Oryzias latipes: one gene and its partners. The protein of the gene in region 1 interacts with the protein of each later gene in a pairwise test. Links are inferred from orthologs where the notes say so. Each region holds a gene or a part of one and is shown in the gene's direction. Other genes may lie near its edges.

Region 1 (4,070 bases):
TTTGAAGCCTCCTCCTATAATACAAAAACTCTGACAGCCCTAATTGGATCTAGTCTCCCCTGTGTCATTTCACACTATATTACACACAATCCAGTAGTTACCAATACCTTTAAAATTATGTTTCAATTCAGACAGACGTATGGACTCACTCAAGTGCTTACCACTAGTCCTATACACAAAAATCACCTTTTTCTCCCTGGTCAGACAGACTTCGTATTCATGATTTGGGAAGTGATTAAGGTACAGTATAATCAACTTTAAGGACATGTACCTAAGCGGTATATTTGCAAGCTTCAATGATCTTGCTTCCAAATTTTGTCTGCCTCACTCTCACTTTTTTTAGTACCTTCCAGTGTGTCGCTTCCTTCAGCAGCATGACCCTAACTTCCCTAACATACTGTGTTAGATGAGGTGTTTGAGTTGCCACTCAATTCAAAAAGATTCATTTCCAAAATCAAAGACTGCAAAATTCCTGCTTCCATCTTTGTTGTTTGATTGTCGACTGGTTAATTCAAAACTTCCAAACTTATGTAATACGTTCTTTGTTTGTTGGAGAACTGTTTCCAACATTCTACAAAACTCATTCTATGTCCCAGCATTACACAAAAAAGTTTTTTAAAAACCCAATTTTTCCAAAATACAAAGAAACCCATTTTAAACAATGAATGCAGTATACCCATGCAAGGAACTGCTACATTTACGTTTTGGTTTTCAAGAAAATAACTGTTAATAAATATAAAATCACTTGATCATCTGTTTTTTGAATGTACATATGTTACCAGTTTTTGGGAGTATTGTGTTTGTTGGTGCTCCTCAAAGTTTCCTTTTCCTATTTCTATTCCGTTACAGTTGTGAGTACTTTCTGGTGATAATTTATTTGATTTGGCATTTGATACTTTATTAAATTCTGGGAAATTCTTCATCAATGAGAGCAGATTTTTTTAAAATCAAATCATTATTCAATACATTTCATAAAGAGATCTGTTTACATTTTAAATCCTTGGAATTCAAGAAAAACAGAAATGCAATAAAACTGTCAATTTTCATTGAAGATCACATGTTGTATGACCATACCTAGTGTGAGCTACAATTCTAATGTTATTTATTTATTTTTTCTTTGTATTGTATTCTTTTTTCTTTTTATATCTTTCTATTGTAGTTATGTGAATGTGTACGTGTCATCCTTTGAAGTTCAATAAGAATAAAATAAAATAAAAAGTTGGTGAAATCAACGCTACAGGAATGGGCTTTTAGTTTGAAAGGACGGATGTGACGTACTGTATTTTCGGTGAGGTTCTTTCCGGTTAGCTTACAGACATGAAGGGTCAGTTAAAGAAAGGTGTGGAAGTAATACCAAGCCGGGAAAACTGCGTTTATACCAGCTGTTATTGGTAAAAACCAAGTTTTAACAAATCAGAAAAGCAGCCCACTGTCCTGCAGTCTTTAGTTTTGTGTCAATAAATCATTTATTGTCAAGAAAAACATCAAAATGCTAAGCGGATCCGCTCGGCTAATCGATATTCACAGTTTACATTGTTAAATGTTATACCCATTTTTAAAACTGTTATAGTGAATGAGTTATTTCAATGCCATCTGTCTAATTAATGATTGAATGAATTTTCAGGGAAATATAGTTCATTTTAATCAAGTGAATGAGTGGCTAATGCTGCTTTCCTTTACTTTCTCAGTGAGGAAAATGTTTGGAAGCTCTGTGAGTTTATTCAAGCACAGAAAATGGTTCCACTGGACCAGTTTGCTGTAATTTTCATCTCTAACGACACCAGAACGGTAAGAAGATCTGGAAACATTTTAAACGGCTTAACAAGACAATCGAATAAACAAAATGTTTGCTTTAAAAATAATATTTCAAAAAGTACCTCATACTGAGAATGATGGGCACCGAGCCCTCAAGGGTTCAGGTGGTCTCAAGAAATATTTGAAAGTAAATAACAGGCCTTCTCTGTAAAAAGAAAAATCCTTTTTGCAAAACATCTGGTAGTTTCAAAATACAGCTACAGTGATCCCTCGCTATAACACGGTTTACTTTTCACGGTTTCGCTACTTCACGGATTTGCATCGTGCATTGTGTTCTGCATTCTGATTGGCTAAAAAGTCACTTCACTTCTCTACCTGTGCGTCAATAACATTGCAGTTTAATATGTACACGTACGTAAATCAGCGTGCCAAATTTACAACAGATACGTGCAAATCATCTTGCAATTTCGAGTTTCTCTATAACCCATGAAAAAAAGGAGCGACAACAACAACTGCCTATCACTATGTTCTTCTCCCGAACAAACACAGCTGCACCGCGGGCTTCAAAGGGAGACTGCAGAGCGGAGTCAGGATGCAGCGGCTCAAGAGCAGTGAATTACACCTGAGTCACTATTTGTCTGACCGTACTTTGTATTTTTTTAAAAATCATTTTAAATATCTTCCCGTTTAATCCAAATACTCGGGTCGCGGTGGGCGGGGCTAATCTCCGCGATTTGAAGCCTTCTGTTCACATTGATGATTAAAATTCTTATTTGACAGTACAATACAGAAGATATTTGTTGAAAAACCTTTTCTAAAGTACTTTTATTTGTGAAACAATTCCTTAGCCTGTAAAACGGTTTGTTCTTTCTTTTCAATGTATAATAGAGAATTTAATTGTATAATAATTGTTAAAAAAAAAGGTTTCTACTTCACGGATTTTGCCTATCACGGGTTCTTTTTGGAACGTAACCCCCGCGAAAAACAAGGGTTTACTGTACTCCATTAATTGTGTCCAAATTGGAGGGCTGTGTTCTTCCTGGGCTGCATCTGAAGGCTGCTTACGTAACATGTTGTCCAAATTCAACAAGTCCTTTAAATATGGCCACCGAATACAGCCTTCTTTTTACCCGATTTCAAGGATTGCTCTGGTGTACCCTTCTATGCTGTCCATATCCCAAGATGCATAGCAGTAGAACCCGGATATTTTCTGACAACAATGGCTCCATGCCTGGTTCACTCCTCCTCCCTGTTCGGGACTCACGGTTGCTAGGCAACAGGACATTCACTGATGTAATGGCTGGAATTATCTAAAGGCTAGACTCGTCCAAATTCACAGCCATTAACATCTGACCTACCCGCTCAACAAAGGACCCGAGTAACATCGCCAGGGAAGACTGCGGCCATTGAAGGACGCAGACTTCGAATTTGGGAGCACCCAATATATAACGCTCAAATGTTGTGAAAGCGTCTCACTAAAACGGTCAATCAAACCAAACAAAGAAGTTCATCAAACAAATAGGCAATCCCTAAAACTGGCCACTACACACAGTACATTACAAAAACCAAAGAAATCCCGGACAAGCCCCCAATTTATGTTACACCCCATTTTAGGAAAAAGAAATACTATTTAATAAAAAAACAACCAAATTACTGTATATTTGCAGTATAAAGCACACTTAAAACCCTTAATTTTTTTATTTAAAAAGCAACAGTTTGTCTTAAAATCATGATCACCCTATCTATTAATTAGTTATGCTGCAAACAAGGTTGGGTGTTATTGTGAATACCCTCACGCGGCTAATGTGTGGCGATGTTGGACTGTTTTTTTGGTTACCAAAAAGGTTGTGTGATAGCGTAGTCACGGTAACGTTTGTTTTAGCGCTATCAGTCTGTTTTGTCCACGTGCTGCAAGCAAAGTAACGTGACTGACTGACGGACATTTCTCTGACTCTTTAATCTCACTTAATCTGCCTTGTAGTTCGGTGTGCTCTATATGTGACATATGCTCAAAATAGACCATTCATTGATGTTGTGCTTGATAATCCGGTGAGCCCTGTAGTGTGGAAAATACTGTACAAAGAACAAAGCCTGTATGTATGTTCTGCCCTGGAGATCCTTGCCCAGTCTGGTGCTCTGGACAATTAGGCACAAATGTGCAATCAAAGCTGGCAGAGGAGAAGGAAGACAGAAAACCTCCCACTCCAGCAGAAAATATAAAAGAAAATAGAGAGAGAAAACCCAAATGTACAAAAAAGCCATCACACTGTCATTTATCCATAAATTTTCTAAATCTGCTTAATCTGTTTTGAGGT
Region 2 (3,960 bases), on another chromosome or scaffold:
TAATAAACATCCTTAAATCTAGACCAAAATGCAGAAAAGTGTTGCCATAAGTAATCGGAATTTTCCTAAATCAACAAGATGAATGGAACTTTAATGGAAGAGCGGTGCTGGGACGAATATTGGAGAATTACTCAATGTTTCTCAATGTCTTAATGCTTAAACTGTATGAATCCTGGACATGTCTTTTCAAAAACTAACATGTTTTAAACAATTTGTTTTTCTTGGGCCACACTGCCATCTGCTGTTGTATAGCACACACATGAATGAATCAATTTGAAACCATGTCATCTTTATTTTTTGTTGTGTGTTTTTAATATTTATAAATAACAACGTAAAAATGTTGACTATATATTATACGTTTTTATTTTGGACAAAATTTAATATTACAAAAGCAAAAAAGACTGAACACTTACTTAAAATGGAACTTCAGAAATATTTGGAAAAAATCTTCAGTTGAAAAAGCCTAAAGGTTAAAAACACACATCTGTAAATGTTTAGGGCTACTTACAGAAACCACACTTCTATCAATGTTGTGTGTTATTCTTCATTCATTGTACCTTTCTTATTGATCTTTTCCTTTGCAAAGTAAATGTAAATAATTTTGTCTTAAATATATTTTTGAGATGTGTTTTTTGTCCTGTCTTTTTATTTAATAATTTATTTAAAAATACAGTACAATAAAAAACATTTTTGAAAGGGGAAACCCGCCTTTCTAAGCCAACCCCTGGTGAAAATGACGCATTCAAAGACGGGCGGACAAACCAAAATTCACAAAAAAGGAACTCAAAAGAAATGACATTCAGCGGTAATAATGGAAGAACATGTTTCGCCCTTTTAGTAATTAAAGTAAGAAGAAGAAATTCGTGCTGTTTTTACATAAAGTATGTGGGGATTTTGTAGTTTCAAATCCCCGTTGTGTGTTTTCTGTGTTTGGGGTTTGCGTCTTCTTTGTGTATGCGTTTTTTTCCCCGGGCACTCTTTCCAATTACAGTCCGGGGAAAACCTTACCTTAACCCAGAAGTAGCTGGGGTATGACTGAATGAATCTCCGTGACCCTGTACCAGACTAGAAAATGGTCGGATGGAATTTGTAGCTGCTTTGCTGATTCTCTCTTCTGCACATACTGTCCGTGAATGCATCAGTCGTAACCAAGGTGATGACGCTGTATTCCGTTACCAAGGCATTCTTAAGGCAAACACTGGTAGCTAGAAAGCTAAGCTAACAGATCTAGAAGATAATCTTTTCTTCTTGTATAACTTTTGTTTAGCTTGTTTCCAAAACAAATACACAGAAAAACAACAACTGCATTTTCTATCCCGCCTGGCTTCACTTTGATTTCATCGTAGCTCAAATTCGGATCAAAATTTCCCCATCGTTTAGATTAGTATTGACGTTAGCATTAGCTGCAGCCACCATGGTAAGTGTTGACCACCTGTTTGCGTTTTCAAGCCCAGAATCTCAAACGTCTTTCGATGTTAGAGCTGCGATCATGTGGAGTTTAGTGGGAAGCTACTGACTGTCTGTTAGCATGCATCTCAATGAAGAGCTAGCAGGGAGACTCAGGCCCTGATACAGGAGAAAATCCGCTTCTTGTTAGCTTATAAGCTAATTATGAATGTTATGACATCTGTTGCCTTCGGATGTGTCTTTATTGGAGTATATTTATTACTTTGATTGATTGTGATTTTCTTTCCAGGCTGACTTGGGATTTAATGAGCACCATCAGAATGAAATGATCAATTACATGAGGTTTGCTCGTTCTAAGAGGGTCCTGAGGCTGAAGACTATCGACTCTTGTTTCGAGGACCTCAAAGAAAGCAGGTGACTAAAGTGTTTCTGATCCATTTTAGCAATGATTTGATTCAGATCTGCGTTTGAACGGTCCGATTCGATGACCTTAAAATCGTTCTAGGACATCTCTAGCCTTTTGAGATAAATACCTGGGTATTGAACAGCGCAGGTGATTTTTTCTAGATTCCTTGTATTTCTTCCAAGACAATCAAGTGTAAATTAAATTGGTGTTCAAACAAACAAGTTAACAATTCTATTCATATTTTAGTTTCATAAAGTTCAGCCCCCTGATATTTTACACATTAGAGCATTCTACCACGCTAACAGTATGATCACATGTACGGTCGATTAGATTCATAACTTGCCTCAGACAGATTTAAGACACTGAATTGTTGATAAATCGATTCTTTGATGACGTTTCTGACCCTGATGACACAAGTTGCTTCCTCCTAAAGCCGCAGAGCTCAACAGCTGTAAATGCTTCTGTCCCCCTGAAGGCTGGTAGAAGAAACCTTCACAGTGGACGAGGTGAAGGAGATGCTGGACGGGCTGCAGGTGGTGGTGCGCGGGGAGGTGGAGGTGGAGCTCATCAACTCCGCTCATACCAACGTGCTGCTGCTGAGGCAGCTCTTCTCACAGGCTGAGAAGTTTTACCTTCGACTCCAGACTGACATTTCTGAGCTGGAAAATAGGTGAGCTACACAGAAGCTGTACTCTCATTTTTTAAAATCTAAAGGATGCTTCAATATGTACTGCAACTCCAACTCCAGAAAATCTGGGAGGTTTTTTTTTTTTTTTTTTTTTTTTTACATTTGAGTGTTTAAATAGAATGAAAACTATAAGACATTCAAACCACAAACTAGTATTTTGCTCACAACAGCACAAAGATCCATTGAAAAACCTTTAAACTGAGAAATTTTACACTGAACATGTATTTTAATATCATGTCCAATACAGGTTTAAAATAATTCAGATGGGGTAACAAATAAACGACAAAAGAAACTTAAGCTTGTGTCAGCAACTGTCACAAGAACAGGCAGACGGTTGGATCCAAATGCAGCAGGTTTATGAGCCCAGCTAAGAGTCCACAAAGTTAAATCTGGGTCAGGTAGGCAGGAGCCAATAAAAGGCATGAGATCATCAGAGGAGAGACAGGGCAGTCAGGATCCAGACGAGAGTTGGGGCAAGCAAACCGCGTGGGACGGACGGACGGACGGACGGACGGACGGACGGACGGACGGACGGACGGACGGACGGACGGACGGACGGACGGACGGACGGACGGACGGACGGACGGACGGACGGCATTGCACAGACAATACTTAACACTGAGCTCAGTGCTGTGCTTAAGTATGCTGTGATTGATTGAGTGAACGAGAGTCAGGTGTGCGGCATCCAGGAAGTGCACGCTGGGGTTGCTGGGAGGTGTAGTGTCAGAGTTCTGACTTCTGACATTCTCAAATGATCAAGAAATGCTTCCAGAAATCCCAGCCCCAAAATGCCAAAGACGTGTCCCATTTTGTAGTCCCATGAGTCCGAATTCTTGTTGGACCTTCACAGTGTTTCTCATGCTATGGAGGGGGGGGGGGGGAGGAGGATTAACATGAAAGTTTTCAAGAACAGCTTTTTTCAAGCCAAATTTCAGGAAGAAAATGCATCAAAACTGACCATAATGCAGAAGCAGGAAGTCTAGATCAGGCAGGAATGAAACCAAAACCCCCAAAAAGTTCATAACCTCAATGACCAAACTAGGAGTTGCTATTTTAAGACTGACAAGAAATTCTAAATTAGCTAATATTTTGCAATAAAGTTTTTTAGATTTTAAAATTCCCAATCAAAACTTTTGTGCTATCTGAGTCTGTGGGTAAAAAAACAACAACAAAAAAACAAGGATTTGTGTGATTGAAAACTCTCTTTTCATTCTTTTGACATTTAGTAAAATCTCAAAATGTTCAGGAATGCTGGTTGCAATCGTTTGAAAGTTTCCATTTGTGAAAAAAATGCAGAGCAAAAGCATCTAACTCTTCCCGTTTTATGTTGTAGCTCCCGTCCTCACTGTAATATCATTTAGATTCAGATCTTCAGGGGACGTTTTCTTTGTCAGGTAAACCGGTCGCCGCTGGGAAGCTACAAAAACGCAGGAACATCACGCATCAGTTTGCCCCAGAC
Region 3 (3,998 bases), on another chromosome or scaffold:
CTCAGGTAAAGAACAGGCAGACCTTGTAAAAGGAAGTCTTCATATTAAGAACTATGACCTGTTTACTTTCAATAGAAGATTTTTTTAAATTATTCATAAGGGCTGCAGCAGCACCCAGCTCATTTATATTTAGCACAGTGACTTACAAAGTGCTCCAACCCCACTTTACATCTAACTTTTCTATTGTTATGCTGCTTGAGTTGCTGGATTCCCAAATGAATATGCCTGTAAATGTAGTAACCTGAAACTGACTGGATGTTCTGCTGCTTTAGGTGGACAACCCCTGCTTTACTGTCAAAGGACCAGACAACATCAAACCAAAAAAGATTCACAACATCCAGGTTTCCTTTGAAGCTCCTGATGGAGAGCCTGGAAGGGAGGCCTGGTTCGGAAAGCTGACCGTTTCCAGCGAGCGCTGCGAGGGACACAGCAAGCCTTGCTCATGGGTCTTTTACCTGAAAGGATCCCAGTGATCATAAATAACCACAACAGGAAGCAGCTGATCCGTTTTTATTATTTAGTAACTGTTATATATGAATTTAATTAGAATGACGAAGCTGCAATACTTTAAAGCATAAACATTTTCTAAATGACTTAATAAATTCTACAAAGTCCTTCCTGTCGATGCACTCTCATTTCCACAAGGGGGCAGTAATGTCAAGTAATCTGATCAGAGTTCTGCTGCTTGTCTGATGGAGGAAAGACACATCATCCTCCACAGCTGTTTTGTCATTCTGTCAACTTTCCTGCAGGACCTCATTTGTCCTGATCTTCTTTTTGTTCCGTTAACTCTGGAAAAGGGCAGACCTGGTGGAGTCAGTCATTACTAAAGGTTAAATCTGTCACATCACTCATGCAGGACACCCTCTAATGAGAGGAGCTGCGTGAGGAAAAACTCTCTGATGCTCCTTCAGGGATGCAGAAATCCTCCCCCTGGAATACAGCCAAAGGACAGAAACTGTTTGCGGGATGAAACACCCACAAAATATTTTTTGAAAAGGAAAAAAAAAGTTCTGACGTGCATTTGAAATCAGCCACATAACGCATGATCTGCAAAAAAAACGCGCATGGAAAGTGAGAAGTTGAAGCTTCCACAAGGTTTTCTGTCTCCTGAGTGGGTTTGCAGGGAATGTGGGGTGGGTGTGTTTTGGGGTGGGTGTGTGATGTAAGGAGGGAAGTGGGGTGGGTGGGGAGCTCCTCTCTCTCCCCCATAGAGCGCAGCATGAGCGCTCCGCAGCAAAAGGATGTGCGAGCAGGCAGCGCGTTACTGTAGGGACGGAGTCCACAAACTGCTCAACAAAGAACAAGCCAAACTCCGCGCGCAGGAGAGCCGCGAGCAGCCCAAGCCTTCAGCCGGTCAGGACAGCGAGTCCGCGACGGCAGCGCAGTCCGGAAACAGCGGCGCCCAGCCCGGTGGAATCGACGGGCTCGTCCGCTGGATCGTCACCAAAATGAGCGACAACAAGAACATCTCCAGCCGGGAGTACGCCTCCAGCAAAGAGGAGGTGGCCGTGGCCCAGGAGCAGTTCTTTGCCCCGGAGCCACGGAGAGGCATCTCGGTCATTCTGGATGTAAGTATCAGGCTGCATGGGGGGGTTGGATGCGCAGGATCCAGGGAGCGGTGCGCGCCGTGCGCACTTACGCACAGACAAGAGCGAGGAGTGGAGACTTGGCAGGAGGTCTGCTGGTTATTTGACACTTTGGTGGGTGTCCGGGATGAGGCTGGCGCCTGAACTCTCCACTCTGTCTGCATCCTCCACCAAACCGCCTGAGCTGTATTCAGTTTATAAACTTCGAAACAGATTCCTTAAAACAACAACAAAAATCTATTCATCAGTCAGTTAGATGGTTCACTGATCCACTTTTGGCGCAATCTTTAATATAGGTCAGCTCATCAATACCCGCAGATCGTTTGTCTCCCCCTGAGATCTTCTAGTCCGGCCTTAATAGAAGACAAAACAAAAGAGAAACTAGATCAGCTTCTGCAGATGACCTGAATAAAGTTATGACCAGAGGGCCAATTCAAATTTCATGTCACATTATTCTAGATTTTCAAAAAGTTATTTCTTGAGAGAATCCCTACCAGCAAACTAAAATTGTGTGTTTGGATACATGAAAAGATTCCTGATTTCTCTCCTGTTTTTGTTGTTCATTATTTCTGTCGTTTTGTATTTATGCCTCTCAGTGACAGTCCGCTTTGATCTCTAAGCCTGCAACTCTTCCTTCTCTGCAGGATCTGACTTCAGCTTTGAATCATTTTAGCATTTTCTCTCCTTCTTTTGCACATCACCCCGAACTCTAGAATGTTAATGATTTTGCCATGTTCCACTCTTGCTGACCCCGTCATCATTATCATGGTGGAGAAGTGAACATTTGATTTGCACGCTCACACCTGCATCCAGCTGTCTTTTTTTCTCCTACGGTCTGCTCTTTTCTTCTTCCCCTCCTTTCCTCATTTGTCCTTTCCTCCTGTTTTCAGAGAAATCCGTTTTAATAAGGTTTCAGGCATCGTCCGGCTTTTTCCTGTTTATTCTTAATTTTAAAGAAATAGTTAAGCCCTCACAGTTTTGCTGGTCCTCTGTGCTGTGAGCCACCGCCTCCTTAACGCGACACTCTTTTCCAAGCTCCTCTGTTGCTGGCTCTTGTTTGTGGGGCTGAGTTGGCCCCATGGGTGCATTAGAGGAGCCGAACAATGCAGAGCTGCTTGTCATCTGAAGCACAGCTCAGTTTGGCACCAAGGTTTTGATCTGTTCTACAATGATGCCTCCAAGACTGCACATCTTATTTAGAGCTTTAGCTGCCATAATGCAAAAACCTCTTAATGAGTTTCACTGCAACAGAGGAAGGAAATAATTAAACATAAAACAGCTTTTATGCAAGTTTTTTCTGCAAAATCCAGAAAAAGGAAACATTTTGATGAGAGATTCCATCAACACCAGTACTGTTATTGACAGAAGTGACTAGAAAACGATCATATTCTCTCATTCATATTTAAATAAAACCAATAAATTATTAGCAGCTTGTCTGTTTTGTACCCTTTTAGACATTAGAGGATCACAAAAATCATCAACGAATGAAGGAAGTCTCCATTTAAGAAGCATTGAAGCTTTTTGCTGCAGTTCTGTCAATATTTGGGCTCATTTTTGCTTCTTTAGAACACACAGCTGTGATGCAGCAATACCTTGTCTCTTTGGTTACAGAATTCAGAAACAACACAGGGGTCCTTCTTACTGTATTGTTGTGTTTTTGCAGCTGATCCTGAATAGAAAAGTAAATAGGAAAAAAAAGATGACGCAGACAGACGAGCAGACAAGTTCTTACATTAAAAGTAAAAAATGCTGCAATCTGGATCTCGTCTTTATGAGCTGTCTTCTGTCCGACCTCCAGTTCCACATCCTTGTGTTTCTCTCCTTATCAGAAGTTCCAGTTCTGAGCCTTTCACTTCCAAACAGGTCAAAGCTTTTACTGCAGCTATAAATTAGCTCAATGTGGAGCATGCAGTGAGTCCTCATCAGTCTGGTGGACATCATCGGCTCTGTGCTGCACCTTATCCCTCAGCCTCAGTGTGAACTGACAAACAGAAAAGTCTGGGCACTGAATGTTGGCTGACCAGCCGCTAATTACAATCCAGATTCCCTATTTCTACACAGAATTAGTCACTCCTCGAAAAAAAAAAAAAATCACAACATTGCATGTGTTTTACCATCTGTCAGCTCTCTTCTCACTGTGGCAATGAGGGGTAAATCGACTTTCAGCATCATAATCTGAGGGTGTTAAAGTTGGATTTAAACAGAAATAGGTCCAAAGTGTTTGAGTTTTAATCCATACCTTTATTGGATTAAAACATTCCTTGGACAGACTAAATGTCTAAAAGCTTTCACCTACTTAAATCTGTAAATCTGTTGTATTTTCCATTACCCAGAAAGCACGTCAAAGTCCTTCTGGGAAATGGAAATATACTTTGGTTTTCCTTGAAGCTGTTCAGATAACACTCACAC
Region 4 (3,944 bases), on another chromosome or scaffold:
TTAGTCCGCACACCACGCCTTTCTGGAACTGCCGTTATGTGTTACGAAGAAACAAATCCTTGTTTTACAAAAACTGGCTGACTAAAGGGATATGTTCTGTTCTGCATCTACTGGATCATTCTGGAAATATTTTGACATTTGAAAATTTTAGTTCTGAATTTCAATTATTTGATAGGAAACAATATGATGCTGTGATTAAAGCTCTTCCTCGGTCGTTGATCCAATTATCACAAAATCTATTGTTAAACAAAGTTCCATTAAAACTTCCTTCACTCCTATTGGACGGACAGACGGTTACAAAGACAGAACTACCAAACAGCTTCATACGAAAATTGTTTGTGAAAGAACTCTTCCAAACATCTCATCAGAAAAAAAAAAAATCTAAACACTTCTCTAAAGAAGAGGTCATTGAATTAAGGTTGAATATCTTTAAATTTTGTATTTTACCAAGAGACATTCATTTTAAAATAATTAGTGATGTTTACCCATCCAAGGAATTTTTGAGACTTCGTTTTGGATTTGAGGAGAATGACTGCAGTTTTTGTTTAAAGGACATTGAGACGGTGGATCATTTATTCTTAATTGTGGAGTCATAAAAACATTCTGGGAAGAGTTCTGCTTTTGGTATTCTTCCAAAATTGCAATGACAGTTCATTTAGAGGCAAAAAATGTTTTATTCGGGGTGGTTTCACCTAATAGACCAGAAAATATGGTCCTTAATGTCCTGATAATTCAAGGAAAGTTTTATATTCACAAGAATAAATATTTGATGACCAAACCACTTTTTATTACATTTCATAAAGAGCTCTATTTTTGTTTTCAATCACTTCACTATATGAAAAAGAAGAATGGCTTGAAATTGCCTAGTTTTGTTCAAAAATACAAACTTAATGAGTACCCCTGACCAATATCAAACCTTTTGGATGGATTTATGTTATTTTATTTTTTATTTTACTTATTTATTTTAATTATTTGTGTGTGTTATGTTCATTCGTTTTTTCTACTTTTTATGTTTATATGTTATGTTTGGCAATGGTGATTGCTATTCTAGGTAATGTTGATTATATAGTTACTGTTCGTTATGTTATGTATGATACCTCAATTGTCAATAAAGTTTATAATTTTTTAAAAAAAACCTCTGTCTTTCACTTCCACTTCCGGTGGTGCTGCTACTTGTCGGTGTCGCTCATTAGTGACGTAACGCAATCTTCAGAACGAGCTGTGTTTACTTTTGTGTGTAACCCAGGGAAAATTCTGCGAAATATCTGAGGTAAGCAGCCACATGTTTTTATGGCCAGCAAACTGAAGAAAACAGTAACAAATGACGTCGTTGTTTTGTAACAGACGACACACAGGCATTAAATTTAAATAACACGTAACGTACTTACTTGGCAGCTGTTTTGCGTTTTATTTCCTTCAAGTTTTGTTTAAAATTTCAAAATGACTCAGTCCTTTCTTATATAATCATGTCGTAATTGAAAACCCTTTTTTTATTTACCACATGGATGGGTAGGACATAAAACTAAAGCACTGAAATGTGAATTCTGGGGGGAAAAGAAACACTACTGTTGAATTCTGACTGAGCCCTTATCTTCTTAACCTTTTTCTTTTTATTAGTGGAGAAAGGGTGAATTTGACTCCAGGGGCTTTTACTTTTTGCAGACAAAACTAAACACTGACTGGACTTTACCTGCTAAAGTTTTAAGACAGAAGTCCTAAAGGAGCTAATCTTGGTGGAAAGGAATATTTAAAAAATAAAGTCAGTAAGTCCATCTGTGCTGTTATAATGGCCGTAAAAATCTGTTATTTAAACTGAGTTTGTTTAAATAACTAATAATATGTATAGTAAGTATAGTGTCATTTAAAAAAACTGGAATATTTCTCTTAACATTTCAACTTATTGACACTTTTGAACTCACTGCATACTTAAATTTGGGGAGTATTTTGATGGGGATTCCTAATTTCCCACATTCGGAGGAAAACTCCTTTAACCGTCAACAGTTCTTGAGAAGTTTAGCTCAAAAACAGTTGTCTTACTTTTGCGATGATTGGAAAATGTAGGGAATTCCCCTTTTATACAAGCGCTCTCATTTAGTGGACATGAAACAGTCATGTTAGTGCCACCCCCATCCAGGTGTCAGTTAGGAAATAATCAATTGTCAAAACTGGTCTGTTTCATGGCAGGAGATGTCAGCTCTGTGTGACCCTAGCAACGGCTGCCAAGATGCAGGACAAGCAGCTTCAGAGAAAGAGGCAAGTATGACATCATGTAGAAACTTTGGTGAATGTTTGGTTAAATCTGTTTAAATGGAAAATCTTCAGAATACAATCAGCACTCTGTGTGCACTCCCCAACCAGGTGGATGAGATTTTGGTTTCTGCACATTGCTTCAGACTGACAGGGTTAAGCTCGTCCTTGGATTCATGCGTTCACAGCGGGCATGTGTCGTACATTTAAGAACATGCTGAACGAGGGGTTCTTGAACGCTTTTACACTCAACTGTCACTACCCGATACTATCGCATGCATCTACAGTTGGACGAGGCTTGGTGCGAAATGTCAAAGTAGTGCAAATGTCACAACCATTGACTGTAAAAACAATGGACACCTCCCTTCTCGTGTTCCCAAATAGGAAGTACCATTGCTTCCTGATGCGGGCGCCGCCACGTTGAAACGTATCAGGAAGGGAGGAGAGCTATGGGTGACATCATACCTCGATTCGTCTGTTGTTTTTACAGTCGATGGTCTCAACTCTTGCTCCAGGCTTTTTCTTTCACAGCTCTATTCTGACATATTATGACAGATTTGGTGTTGTATAATGCCGTCTAAGCACAGACCTCAACTATTCATTTATCCTCCATGATCAATTTTCAAAGGGTTGGCATTTCAGTGAGTGAAAAAAGGACGCTACCCATATGTGGCTCCCAAATCCGACACTCTGATTGGTCAAACATTTAACGCGTGTTCAATGGCTGCACGCTTTATTTAAAGAGCCCGAAAACAGACTTAAAATCTTGCATGGCGATGCGTTAACGTGAGAGTTTTGAACGCGGAAGCCCGAAACATGCATATGTACCGTACATAGACTTTTTATTTGAAATGGTTGCTTCAACGCGCGTTGCTAAGGCCGGTGTGATCGTAGCATAAAAGAAAAACACAAATCACTGAAACTGTATGAAGATTTTAAAACATAAGTCATAAAGTCTGAAAATAGATCAAAAAAATAACAGTCATTTACAGAGACTGTAGCAGTTCATGCTAATTGTTTGAGAATTTGTCACCTCAGATTAACCAACCCATATGAAAGTGGTAACAAAGTGGTTATAAAATTATTTGTGAACATCAGACCTTTTAATAATGTTTAGTTTTTTGTTTGTTTTTTTCTGACAGATTTGGTCTTCATAACCCTTAGCAAAAAGTAGTACACTTGCCGTATCTTTGAGTAAAGCAAGTCTACTATAACCTTGTCCATGAAGTATAGGAAGCATACTAACTAAATACTTTTAAGACCACATTTGAACATTTTTTGGCAACTTGAAGTATTTAGGCTGCAAGGGGGATACTTTGGTGCAGCGGTAGGGCAGTCGAAGAAGATCTGAAGATTGCGGGTTCGATTCTTACCTTGATGTGTCTTTGTGCAAGACACGGAACCCCACATTGCCACTGGTGAAAGGTTGCCGCCATTGTCCATCAGTGTGTGAATGGGACTGTGACTGTAAAGCACCTTGGGCCTTCATGTTGTTGACCAATCGGATGACCCGCCTCCTTGCCGCACCTCTTATGTAGACTAGGATCATTTGGAGTGTAATTTAAGTTATTAGATGACTTTATTAATCCCACAATGGGGAAATTCATTTATCTGTGGCAGCTGCGAAAGTGTAAAAAACATGTGATCCACTGCAAACATGTGATCAACTGTCAAAAACACGTAAAACTTTTTTTCTT
Region 5 (4,110 bases), on another chromosome or scaffold:
AGGGGGCGCGGGGTGAAGGGTACAGGCTGAGAGGTGAGCACGGAGCGCAAAACGCATGCGCAAACCTGGCTGGATCTTCTTCCAGGGGGGCAACGGTCGCGGGCCGCGGCTCAGTGCTTGATGAAAAAATAAAAATAAAAATTGCGCCCCCATGTAGCGAATTGGCGCCCCTGGGTGCAGCTGCACGCGCTCCTGCTGGAAATGTTTGACGAACGGGGGGGGGGGGGGGGGGGGGGGCTGCGGGTATAAAAAAGGTATAAAAAAAATCATGCTTTTTTGGTTATTTTTGTGTGAAATGCCCAAATAAAAAATGGGAAAACAAAAAAAATTCTTCACTTAGATGACAGTTGGTTTAGTCGACAGACTTGATGCCTATGTCAGGACATTTATGCTAAATGCAAAAAACATCTGAAATATGGAGAAAAAAGGTCAAAACTGGTGCCCAATTTAGAAAGAAAAGAGAAGAAGAGGAGAAAAGAGACAAAGAAAAGGGTAATATAGCATAGCTAGATGCACGTTTTTTAAATTCGAATGCTATCTACCCTCCAACATCAACAACGTTGCAGAGGAAAAATCTCTTGTTTGGTCTATCATGACCAAAACTGAAGTAGGCCCAAATATTGCAAATAACGTCATTTTTAAGATATTTATTCTTAAATGTTTGCTCTGCCTTAACTTGTAACATTAGTTATGATTCGTGTGTCTGTCTGCTCTGCTGTAACACAACGTTTTTTTTGTGTTTTACTGTTGTATATTAGTTCATAATGTTAAATGAGCTGTGATGGTAGCATGCTGCTGCTGCTGCTGCTGCTGCTGCTGCTGCTGCTGCTGCTGCTGCTGCTGCTGCTGCTGCTGCTGCTGCTGCTGCTGCTGTTAGCTTTTCAAAACTCCAGTTGATCAAGTCATACCTGAGGTCACCAATGTCTCAGGAGCAACTCACTAACCTGCTGTTGTTAGTATCAATCATTCAGTAGGGGAGCAGATTTCATATGATGACGTTATTGACAAGCTTGCAAAAGGAAGGCCACAAAGGTTAGGTTTTAGTTAGTGTTTTCTGTTCTTAGTGCTGCAGTTACATTTATTCTAGTGTGTTATTAGTGTGATTTGTAGTTTATAATATTTATTTTAGATTATTTATTTGTGTTTGATGGGGGGGGGGGGGGGGGGGGGGGCGCCAGAGGAGGGTCTCGCCCGGGGAGTAATTCAGGGTAGAACCGCCACTGACTGTCACTATCAGAGCACTCTGTCTTCCTGCGTGTAGTAGTTTTTCCTGCGTGTGGTAGTGTCGTAATGAACGAGTCGCCCCTGAAGGCGGCATTCATTGAGGCCGTCGTCGTCATCACTCAGGTGTCTCATTCGTAGGAGACTCCGCGGCGGGCGAGAAGGCGCCGAACCCTGAGCAGAGTTCCCAGCGGAGGATGTCTGATAGTTGTTGCTCTTTTCTTCCCTTCAACGCACTTTAATAATTCTTCCTACGTCCCGACGCGCACGAGCCTCGACCATGAGCACCTTGATGGCGTGTAAAGCCGGACGATGCGGTGAGTGCCACGCGCTCACACTCAGCGTCACCTGCAGACCATAGAACCAAAAATCTCCTCAGTTCTTTTTAGACTTCTTTTTAGATTGCATAGATTATCTTTAACTTTTTCTTACTTTAGGTATTCGAAGTTAACTTTTTTTATTCAAAAACAAAATGAAAATAAGCACAAGAGTTACAAATAGACAAATGTGCTCGAAATTTTTAGTTGTTGAAGTAATAAAGTTCATTTCAACCAAAAAGTATCCTTATAAAAAACATGTATTATCATTAAAAATGATAAATAATTGTAGTAAAGAGTAATCCTGATGACTCAACTTTGCCCTGAAACTAAGTGTGTGTGTGTTTTGTTTTTTGTTTTTGTGCACAAAAAGTAGTACACTTGAAGTCTAACTTAATAAGTATACTTGAGTATAAGTATAGCTAGTACCAGTATACTAGTCAGGTTCATTTAGTGAAGGAAGTATAATAAGTAAATACTTCTTCAGACTACACTGAAACATTTTAAGTTTACAATATAAAGATAGTCAGTAAAGTAAACTTCTAGTATACTGCCTCACGTTTAGTACACACTGGGTATGCTTGTAGTACATTTAAATCCACTACTTTTTGCTAAGACACAGTGAGAGTTGATGAGACTAAATCAAACATCTGGATGTTTACTTTTGCAGCTTCAGAAACAAAAATGACATCATTGCAGAGCAGGACCTTTTGCAACACGTCTGTGTTTCAGTTTAATGAACAGGAAGCGTTTTTTCATCACCTAATAGCTGGATCAGTTTGAACTTGTTAACTACAGCTCGACGCTTTTTCATGGAATCAGTCTTCATTTAAAAAAATATGCAACTTTTCTTTGCATCTATTAAGATATAAACTTTAGATGCATGCATACACTTATGAGTCAAGTTTTGACAGTTGTGTTGTTTCCTGCAAATATGTTGATTGGATCGACACAGTTTCTACTATAAGGAGGAAGCTGGAGACATCCGCTTATCTTAATGTGAAGCATACGTACTAATGCTTTTTTTTTTACAATTTGGGTTTACTGCTTCTGTATTTAAAGATACGTTTATTTATAGTAACCAATAAACCTATGAAGCAGGTTTTTGGACGGTGGGAGGAAGCCGGAGTCCCCGGAGAAATCCCACACATGCACGTGGAAAACATGCAGATCTGCTAACAGATTACAAACGAGAAAAAAGTTTTCAACAATTTTCCCAACCTGTCTTATTCAGCTTGTCTTTAACTCAATAACGTACACAGATCTGGAGCTGTAATCATTTTTTAGTGAATTATCTTTTTTTTTTTTTTTAGTTTTGCTTTTGACATACTTTGGAAAGGCTTGCATCAACAAAACTTGGTTAAATTTAAATACTGAAACACAACATAACAACATGACTAAGTAGTAGCGAGTCATTTCAACAGGTAGAACGATTACTTTCACTTGCGTTTATTTTTTTTAGGGACTGTGTTGTACAAACACCATCCCCTTGAGCTCCTGACATTAGTTCAAGTGTAATATGTCTCCCATAAATGAGTTGATGCTGGTGATCAACCGTTAGGTGGGTTAAAATTGTTGTTGACTGTTGGAGGAGTAGCCAATATGAATATACAGTGACGCAAAAGGGGACCTTTCCAGGAATTAAGTCATTAGGTTTTGTTCTTTTGCAGTTGTGGTATGTTAGTTTTACGTGTAGGTGGTGGAGCAGAAAGATCTTCTCTTTTCCGGGGAGTCTGGTAAAAATGTCAAAACCATGTTTAAAAAATGATTTAAACTAGGGTTTGCACTGATGAAGTGTTAGTGCACAGAGAATGAAAGCAACAATCGGGTTAGTTGGATTAGAAGGACGTTTTGGTGCGATTCAGTAGCAGTGAACCTTAGTTTGCGTTTTTCCCACAAAAATACCTTTTTAAACCCTTTTATTTACCTTTACATTCATTAGAAAGAATGTTTATTTAAATTATGCCTTAAAAACCCTAAATATAAAACTACGACAGACAAATACAGATTAGTTTTGCTTGAAGTCTTTATATAGATTAGAGGAATTAATCCTAAAATATGAGCTTTTATGATTGGGGGACTTTTCCCACTGCTGCCCCGGACCGCTTAAATTCCTTTTTCTCATATCCAAGGTAAAGGAACTGACTTTGTAGTGATAGATGATGGATGAGCGCGTGTGGAACACTTCTCAGTGGAGCCAGGACATCAGATACACAGATCTGACTGCTACAAAATATTTTAAACGCCTCTCAGTGTTTCAACGACTCATTTGAGCTACAAAAGTAGAGAGGAGTATCAATGCAAAGAGTTTCAAATGACAGGATCCATTCACTTTCTGTTACTGGTCTTTGTCTGTTTACGTCCCATAGAAGTCGGAGCTTATGTCATCTGCTCTAACATATGTCGCTAAATCATTAAAGGAAATAAGAAATGCAGTTTAGATGACTTCCAGACCCGTTTTATTTCATTTTTTATATTTATTCAGTATATTAACCATGGGGAATGTCGATTTATGATCATATTTGACATGTTTACATGCTAAAAAATACAATAAAACACATTCAAGTTTTCA
Region 6 (2,664 bases), on another chromosome or scaffold:
ACCTTTAATTTTACAACTTTGTTCTCCAAATGTTCCGAACTTCTTTTTTTTTTCTGTATTTTTTTGTGTGGCGCTTTGAACCTGGATGGTCGTTTCCTGCTGCCTGTGGTGGCACTGGCGTTCTGCGGTGGCGCTGGCGTTCTGCGGTGGCGCTGGCGTTCTGCGGTGGCGCTGGTGTTCTGCGGTGGCGCTGGTGTTCTGCGGTGGCGCTGGTCTCTGGCTGAAACGGCTGTTTTCTCGTTGGTCCTCAGGATTTGTCCCGCTGTAAAAAGGTGATGGAGGAGAGAGGAGAGCTCTTTCTGGAGAAGATCTCCATGTCCAGGAATAAAGTGGCCAAGCTGTGTCACACCTTCATCAAAGACGGCGCCGTGAGTTCCCGCCGCTCCCTCTTGGCGCTCGCCGTCCTGCCGCTCTCTCATTCTTCTGCTGATGATCCTCAGAAAATCCTGACCCACTCCTTCTCCCGAGTGGTGCTGCGGGTTCTGGAGAAAGCCGCCATGGAGAAGAAGCGTTTCTCCGTCTACGTGACCGAGTCTCAGCCCGACGCCGCCGGGTGAGTGTGCACGCGCGTGCGCACGTTTTTGTGCTGCAGAGACAGCCTCACTTCCTCCTCTTCCTCTCAGGCAGCAGATGGCGGCGGAGCTGGCGAAGCTCCACGTCCCGGTGACCGTGGTCCTGGACGCCGCTGTGGGGTGAAGCCTGCTCGGTTACAGACGTTTTTTCCCATCATGCACCGCGTCCTCCTCAATGCTCTGCTGTTCTCAGGTACGTCCTGGAGAAGGTGGATCTGGTCATCGTTGGAGCAGAGGGGGTGGTGGAGAGCGGCGGCATCATCAACAAGGTGAGGCGTGGAAGGGGCGGAGTCTCTGAGGTGGGTTTGGACCTAAACTGCAAACCTATTCAGACTGTGGAGTTCAGAAACAGTGAACATGTGGTTCGCTCTTCGACTGCAGGCGGACGGGCGGAAACTCCTCCGTCACCGTCTGATGAATCCTGAACTGGCGTGTTTTTAACCGCATGTGGAGCTGCGTTAGAAACACGCCTGAAAAGTTTCTTTAGTCGCCAAAATCGTCCTAGAGAAACAGCTAAACTCAAAGTGTTCTTTGGTCAGTGCATCCTTCATTCAGATATTTATAACTAAAACATAAAAATAAAGACGTGTCATTAGTTTACAGTGACTCAAAGAGACAACTTAAAGTTTTTTATTGTTTCTGTTAAAAGGAAATCTGACAATACTCAGATCTAAAAAGTACCAACAATGATGGAAATGCCTGGACAGCTGGGTGAATAAATCAAGCGTACCTTTGCAGGTAAAGGGTTCAGTTAACCCTTGTGCTATCCTAGGCACTTTAACGTTGGGAGTTGGGTCATCTAGACCCACTAGACAGTGGGGTCATCTAGACCCACTAGACAGTGCTCTGAACCTTTTTTCTTCAATGATTGGTGATCTTCTCTGGTGTCCATGGATTACATGAAATCTTTCCACCTTTATCCACCTTTGTCATGGTAGGGAGAACACGTCAAAGTAAGGGTGGGGTCATCTAAGATAGCACAAGGGGTAAAGGTTTTGTTTCATCAAACGAGCTTTATGGGAAAAATAGATTCAGACTTTTTCAGAATCAGTTAAAAAATCTTTTTATTCAAATTATTTTGATAGAAAACAGCAGATTTAATCATTGTTTTATCAGATACCAGTTTAGTTTTGAGAATGGAGACTCTTTTCAGTCAGACGGGACGTGGTGGCGGGACGTTTGCCCTCAATGACCTCGGCGCGTCTGTCCTTTCAGATCGGGACCTATCAGATGGCGCTCTGCTCCAAAGCTCACAACAAGCCCTTCTACGTGGTGGCGGAGAGCTTTAAGTTTGTGCGGCTGTACCCGCTGAACCAGCAGGACGTCCCGGACAAGTTCAAGGTCAGACCTCCTCTGACGGCGTTCCTGGATGGGCGAGCCCCGCCCTCACGTCTGTTTCTGCTCCGCAGTACAAAGCCGACACCCTGAAGAAGAGGCAGAACCTGTCGGAGGAGCACCCCGTCATCGACTACACGCCCCCCTCCCTCATCACCCTCCTGTTCACGGACCTGGGCGTCCTCACGCCGTCCGCCGTCAGCGACGAACTCATCAAATTATATCTATAAATGTCAATAAAGCGGTTCAGAGAGGGGCCTCTGCGTCCCGTTTGCTCTTCGGCCCGTCGGTCAGCTGCTGCTCGAAGTCTTCCTCACTGATCCGGCCTTTCTTCAGCTTCTTCAGGAGGCGCGTGTCGTTCAGGAGCTCCAGCGCCTCCTCCTCATCATCATTGCCCTGCAGAGAAGGAGGAGCTTAAACCGTCGGTCCTCGCAGAGACGGCCTCCAGCCGTCAGCGCTCACCTCTTCGTGCTTCCTCTTCACTGCCCTCCTCTTCCTCCGCTCCTTCTTGCTCTTCTGTTTGGACCAGGCTTTGTTCTTGGCGAAGTTCTTCTTGGGCGGCGCCGGCCCGTCTCGGTCCTTCTGCTCTGCCAGCGTCTTCTGCCTCTGCTTCTCCCTGTTCTTGTCCTTGTACGGGATGGCGTCCGTGTCCACCGCCGCCTCAGGGAAATCTGGGAAGGTCTTCCCCCTCAGCTCCGGCATCTTCGGGAGCCGGAGGAGCCCGAAGCCGCGCGCCAAGGCGGCGAAGTCCAGATCT
Region 7 (3,500 bases), on another chromosome or scaffold:
GTATTTTTAGATCACAAACCAGAGAGCATGTTCACATTTATTGTTTTTAAATTGTCGTTTATTTCCACTTTTTTTTTTATATGCTGCATCCCAAAGTGAGAGTTGCAAAGGAATACCTACACACCATAAGGAAGCTGTTGTCTGTTCTCCATGTGACTGAGCTTCAGGGTTAATGTGAGGTGTAAGCGTAATTCTTAGGAGACTAACAACATTTCTGTTCTTGCAGGCCTTGTTTAGGAAGGCGATGGTGCTGCATGAAATGGGGCAGGTGGACAAATCCCTGCAGGTCTTCCTCCACTGCCTGTCTGTCAATGAAGACTTCCCAGGAGCTAAAAGACAAGTGGAAAAGGTTTGTTCGTAAAAAAAAGCTGCTAATTTGGAAAAAAGATGCTTTAACCCTGTTATCGTGGATGTGATGCACATGGTTGTGTTAATCAAAGGTTCATGTTTGTGGGACGAGTGAGTGGAGCTGAGGAGGGTGACAATTATCTGACAGAATGAACAAAACAAAAGGACAGTCATGTGTGAAGGTTTTATAGCTTGCATTTGTTCGTCTGCCACGGATGAGCAGATTTTGGCCCATTCAAGGGATTTATTTGCTGTTGTTAGATGGAACAATCATCCTTTCATCAGGTGTTTCTCACCTATTGATCTGAAGGTTTTGAGGTTTGATCGGTCAATAAGAAAGCAAGCTTATTTTCCTCAAGTGAGATTCGATTTTAACCCACAAAAACTCATGGTGATATCAGCGTAACTAAAAAAAATGTCAGAAATGGATTCTGTGGTCCACTTGTTTGTGGTAAAATATACATAATTTTATTTTGAAGAAATAATGGGTCTGGGTTCTTATGGGTTAAAACTTTGAGAAATAGTTTTTCCGTTCCTGTTGACTAACATCAGAGAACCCAACATTTTGTGCGTGTCAGAACATTTGACTGAACCTGTGAACAGAGCAAGATCCAGCGGGTCTCCTCTGTGATCGTTTGTCATGGACTTACATAAGTTAGTGGGTCAAGTCTTGTGACTGCGCGTAATGACATTAGTGCCACTTAATAGACAGAACACAGACACTATTGTAGTTATGTAAGTGACACACTTTCTCCTCATGCATTTTTTAGAGGAACATGATTATTCTTCTGGCAGAGGCATAACGTGTGATGAATTTGTCTGCGTCTGTTTGGTCGGACTGTCTGTACAGATTCAGACAAAAACCTCATTCATACGTTTCTGTTTTGATCCGGGTTTAAAGTGGAGATGGGGCTCCGATAGTCACTAGAGGACGTCTCAGTACACTCTGGACAGGTTGTTTATGGGGGTCAGATAACAGTCAGCCCCATGGTTTTTTGGAGGGGTGTGGCAATCACCTGGCTGGGATTAAAGGAGAGATAAGATATAGACAACATTAACTTGCTTTAAAGTAAAAGTAACAATGTGTTTCTTTACCCTTTGTAAACAATAAATAGAATTTATTGATGTGATTCCCAATCATCACACAAGTGCCGATCCTTTTACCCCAATTATTATACCTTGTTTGGTTGACTTGTACTCCGGAGTAATTTATAATCCGAAAAAGACGATACAAAACAACATTCTGACGAGAAATGGCCACTTTTGCTAAGGGATCTTGACAGATTGTCTGAGTAATTCTTTTCGAGAACCACATTTTGAGTCAGCTGATATAAGACTAAAATGACTACATAGGAATTACAAATGATATAATAATGACTCTGCAGTTCTCTGAAGTCTTCTGCAACCTCTTGTTGCCCAAAAAAAATCGATCATTTATGAAACAAGCCCCAGATAGATAACTGGAGAGCCTTTTTTGTTACGCATGTAATCTGCTCATAAGGCAAATGTCGTATCAGTGGCGTTCCAGCAGTTAGGAAACACCAACTCAAACAGCTTCTTTGGTGTCACATTATTCATAGCAAAGAACAACACGGTTGCTCTTTGTGGCTGCATGGACCAGACGTGGAAAAATTCTGAGCTGTCTCCATATGCTGGGGGGAAAAAAAGCAATAATGGCATTTGTCTTATACATAACCTTATTCACACCTTCATGAGATTCTTTTCATCAGAACCTTTTGACATGGCTTGTTAAAAAAATATTGCCTTTGTTCAGCTGACATACAGATTCCTCTCAGCTCTTTTTGGTCAGGCTTTTCCACAGGCCAAGTAGTTCCAGCTGGTGTCAGGTGATCGCTTCCAGAGGTTTTTAAATCACGTTAAGATTCCACTGCATGTTTTTGGTTTAAACATTCCAGTTATTAAAACTGATCTGTATGACTTTTTTTTAATAAAAGGTACTTAACCCTGACTAGATGTTGCTTTGTCTCTGACGGTTTTGATGAAGCTAACGAGTTCTCTTGTTCAGCCTGATAACATACTTGTTTGTTTTTTTTTGCAGATCTTGTGTGACCTTCTTTCCCCCGCGGATGAGAATATTAAAGTCGGCCTGAAGGAAACCACTCAGAACACGTTGCCTCATTTACGCAGCAAAGCCCTTATGGCAGAAGCACAACCACAGTGTCCGGTTCAGAGAGCACACCAACAGCAGAACCGAGCTGTTTCCGCACACCAAGTGAACAGCCAGGAGGTACCTTTGAATAAATACTGCTATATGCGTGTTTAATGAATGACTTGATTCAGTGCCACTTAGGGAACCATCGTCTGTCATCTGTCATTATCCAGAAACGCTGGGAAAGTCTGGAGCGGCCCGGTCTGAGCCGAACTCAATCGCTGCGAACGCACGGCTGCAACAGTGGCGATGAGGGACTGAAGAGAGTCAGCTCTGCTCCTCAGCTGGGCGACCAGGACAAGGGAAGTCTGCTGAAGAGGAAGCTGTCTGTGTCCGACCTGGAATCCTGCTTTGTGGACAGTGGAAGTAGCAAATACAAGAAGCAAGGTGTGTTGTTAAGACTCACTGAGATTATTTTGGCTGCCTTTAATAAAAGACATACTATAACACTTTACTGCAATAATAGTTTAACAGCTTTTTTTTCCCCCCTCTTCCTAATTTAGGTGTCACCAAAGGCTCCAAACAACACATTTCCAAAGCAAAAACCTGCAAAAGTGTTCCTGAGGGTATGCTGGACTCTAGTGACCTTGAGTGTTCTCTTTGCATGAGGTAAGAGAATACTAGGATGAGGATTGTTTGTTTTTACCAATGCCTTCTACATTATTTGTTGTAAAGTGAAAACAAGTCAAGAAAGGCCTGTTTGTAACTCAGATCCGTTGTGTTTGTACAGATTGTTTTATGAGCCTGTGACAACTCCATGCGGTCACACCTTTTGTAAGAACTGCTTAGAGCGCTGCTTGGACCACACACCGCACTGTCCGCTCTGTAAAGAGAGCCTGAAAGAGGTGAGGCAGCAGTCCTAGAACAGCCTCAACGTCAGAACACTTCAGGCCTAACTCTCTGCTGTTACTCATCCTGCTGTCTCCAGTACTTGGCGTGTCGGAAGTACATGGTAACCACAGTCCTGGAGGTGCTAATCAAA

Evidence for each region.
Region 2: the proteins of wdyhv1 (region 1) and lztfl1 interact in binary tests that used the Homo sapiens proteins (3 or more experiments, as listed by UniProt). The two-hybrid records come from large-scale screens. The link is inferred for Oryzias latipes from reciprocal best matches to the Homo sapiens genes NTAQ1 and LZTFL1.
Region 3: the proteins of wdyhv1 (region 1) and necab2 interact in binary tests that used the Homo sapiens proteins (3 or more experiments, as listed by UniProt). The two-hybrid records come from large-scale screens. The link is inferred for Oryzias latipes from reciprocal best matches to the Homo sapiens genes NTAQ1 and NECAB2.
Region 4: the proteins of wdyhv1 (region 1) and apip interact in binary tests that used the Homo sapiens proteins (3 or more experiments, as listed by UniProt). The two-hybrid records come from large-scale screens. The link is inferred for Oryzias latipes from reciprocal best matches to the Homo sapiens genes NTAQ1 and APIP.
Region 5: the proteins of wdyhv1 (region 1) and edaradd interact in binary tests that used the Homo sapiens proteins (3 or more experiments, as listed by UniProt). The two-hybrid records come from large-scale screens. The link is inferred for Oryzias latipes from reciprocal best matches to the Homo sapiens genes NTAQ1 and EDARADD.
Region 6: the proteins of wdyhv1 (region 1) and eif2b1 interact in binary tests that used the Homo sapiens proteins (3 or more experiments, as listed by UniProt). The two-hybrid records come from large-scale screens. The link is inferred for Oryzias latipes from reciprocal best matches to the Homo sapiens genes NTAQ1 and EIF2B1.
Region 7: the proteins of wdyhv1 (region 1) and lonrf1 interact in binary tests that used the Homo sapiens proteins (3 or more experiments, as listed by UniProt). The two-hybrid records come from large-scale screens. The link is inferred for Oryzias latipes from reciprocal best matches to the Homo sapiens genes NTAQ1 and LONRF1.

What each region holds. Positions count from the first base shown.
Region 1 is NC_019869.2:4,812,114-4,816,183, reverse strand, and holds the start of wdyhv1 (protein N-terminal glutamine amidohydrolase), read left to right. Parts: upstream 1-1,270; 5' UTR 1,271-1,317; coding exon 1,318-1,391; intron 1,392-1,688; coding exon 1,689-1,788; intron 1,789-4,070. UniProt on the Homo sapiens protein: Mediates the side-chain deamidation of N-terminal glutamine residues to glutamate, an important step in N-end rule pathway of protein degradation.
Region 2 is NC_019878.2:21,516,326-21,520,285, forward strand, and holds the start of lztfl1 (leucine zipper transcription factor-like protein 1), read left to right. Parts: upstream 1-1,160; 5' UTR 1,161-1,414; coding exon 1,415-1,417; intron 1,418-1,696; coding exon 1,697-1,821; intron 1,822-2,288; coding exon 2,289-2,483; intron 2,484-3,960. UniProt on the Homo sapiens protein: Regulates ciliary localization of the BBSome complex. Together with the BBSome complex, controls SMO ciliary trafficking and contributes to the sonic hedgehog (SHH) pathway regulation. May play a role in neurite outgrowth. May have tumor suppressor function.
Region 3 is NC_019864.2:24,684,458-24,688,455, reverse strand, and holds the start of necab2 (N-terminal EF-hand calcium-binding protein 2), read left to right. Parts: upstream 1-1,198; 5' UTR 1,199-1,244; coding exon 1,245-1,571; intron 1,572-3,998. Other genes in the region: hydin (hydrocephalus-inducing protein homolog), read left to right, coding at 1-5, 273-473. UniProt on the Homo sapiens protein: May act as a signaling scaffold protein that senses intracellular calcium.
Region 4 is NC_019861.2:8,213,016-8,216,959, forward strand, and holds the start of apip (methylthioribulose-1-phosphate dehydratase), read left to right. Parts: upstream 1-1,144; 5' UTR 1,145-1,270; intron 1,271-2,184; 5' UTR 2,185-2,187; coding exon 2,188-2,253; intron 2,254-3,944. UniProt on the Homo sapiens protein: Catalyzes the dehydration of methylthioribulose-1-phosphate (MTRu-1-P) into 2,3-diketo-5-methylthiopentyl-1-phosphate (DK-MTP-1-P).
Region 5 is NC_019873.2:9,878,132-9,882,241, reverse strand, and holds the start of edaradd (ectodysplasin-A receptor-associated adapter protein), read left to right. Parts: upstream 1-1,310; 5' UTR 1,311-1,501; coding exon 1,502-1,538; intron 1,539-4,110. UniProt on the Homo sapiens protein: Adapter protein that interacts with EDAR DEATH domain and couples the receptor to EDA signaling pathway during morphogenesis of ectodermal organs. Mediates the activation of NF-kappa-B.
Region 6 is NC_019870.2:1,222,556-1,225,219, forward strand, and holds the end of eif2b1 (translation initiation factor eIF-2B subunit alpha), read left to right. Parts: intron 1-251; coding exon 252-368; intron 369-440; coding exon 441-553; intron 554-623; coding exon 624-692; intron 693-765; coding exon 766-841; intron 842-1,619; exon of another isoform or gene 1,620-1,787; coding exon 1,788-1,913; exon of another isoform or gene 1,914-1,981; coding exon 1,982-2,137; 3' UTR 2,138-2,153; downstream 2,154-2,664. Other genes in the region: ATP-dependent RNA helicase DDX55, read right to left, coding at 2,154-2,303, 2,370-2,662.
Region 7 is NC_019859.2:13,839,896-13,843,395, reverse strand, and holds part of lonrf1 (LON peptidase N-terminal domain and RING finger protein 1), read left to right. Parts: intron 1-226; coding exon 227-349; intron 350-2,407; coding exon 2,408-2,596; intron 2,597-2,691; coding exon 2,692-2,905; intron 2,906-3,021; coding exon 3,022-3,127; intron 3,128-3,248; coding exon 3,249-3,363; intron 3,364-3,446; coding exon 3,447-3,500.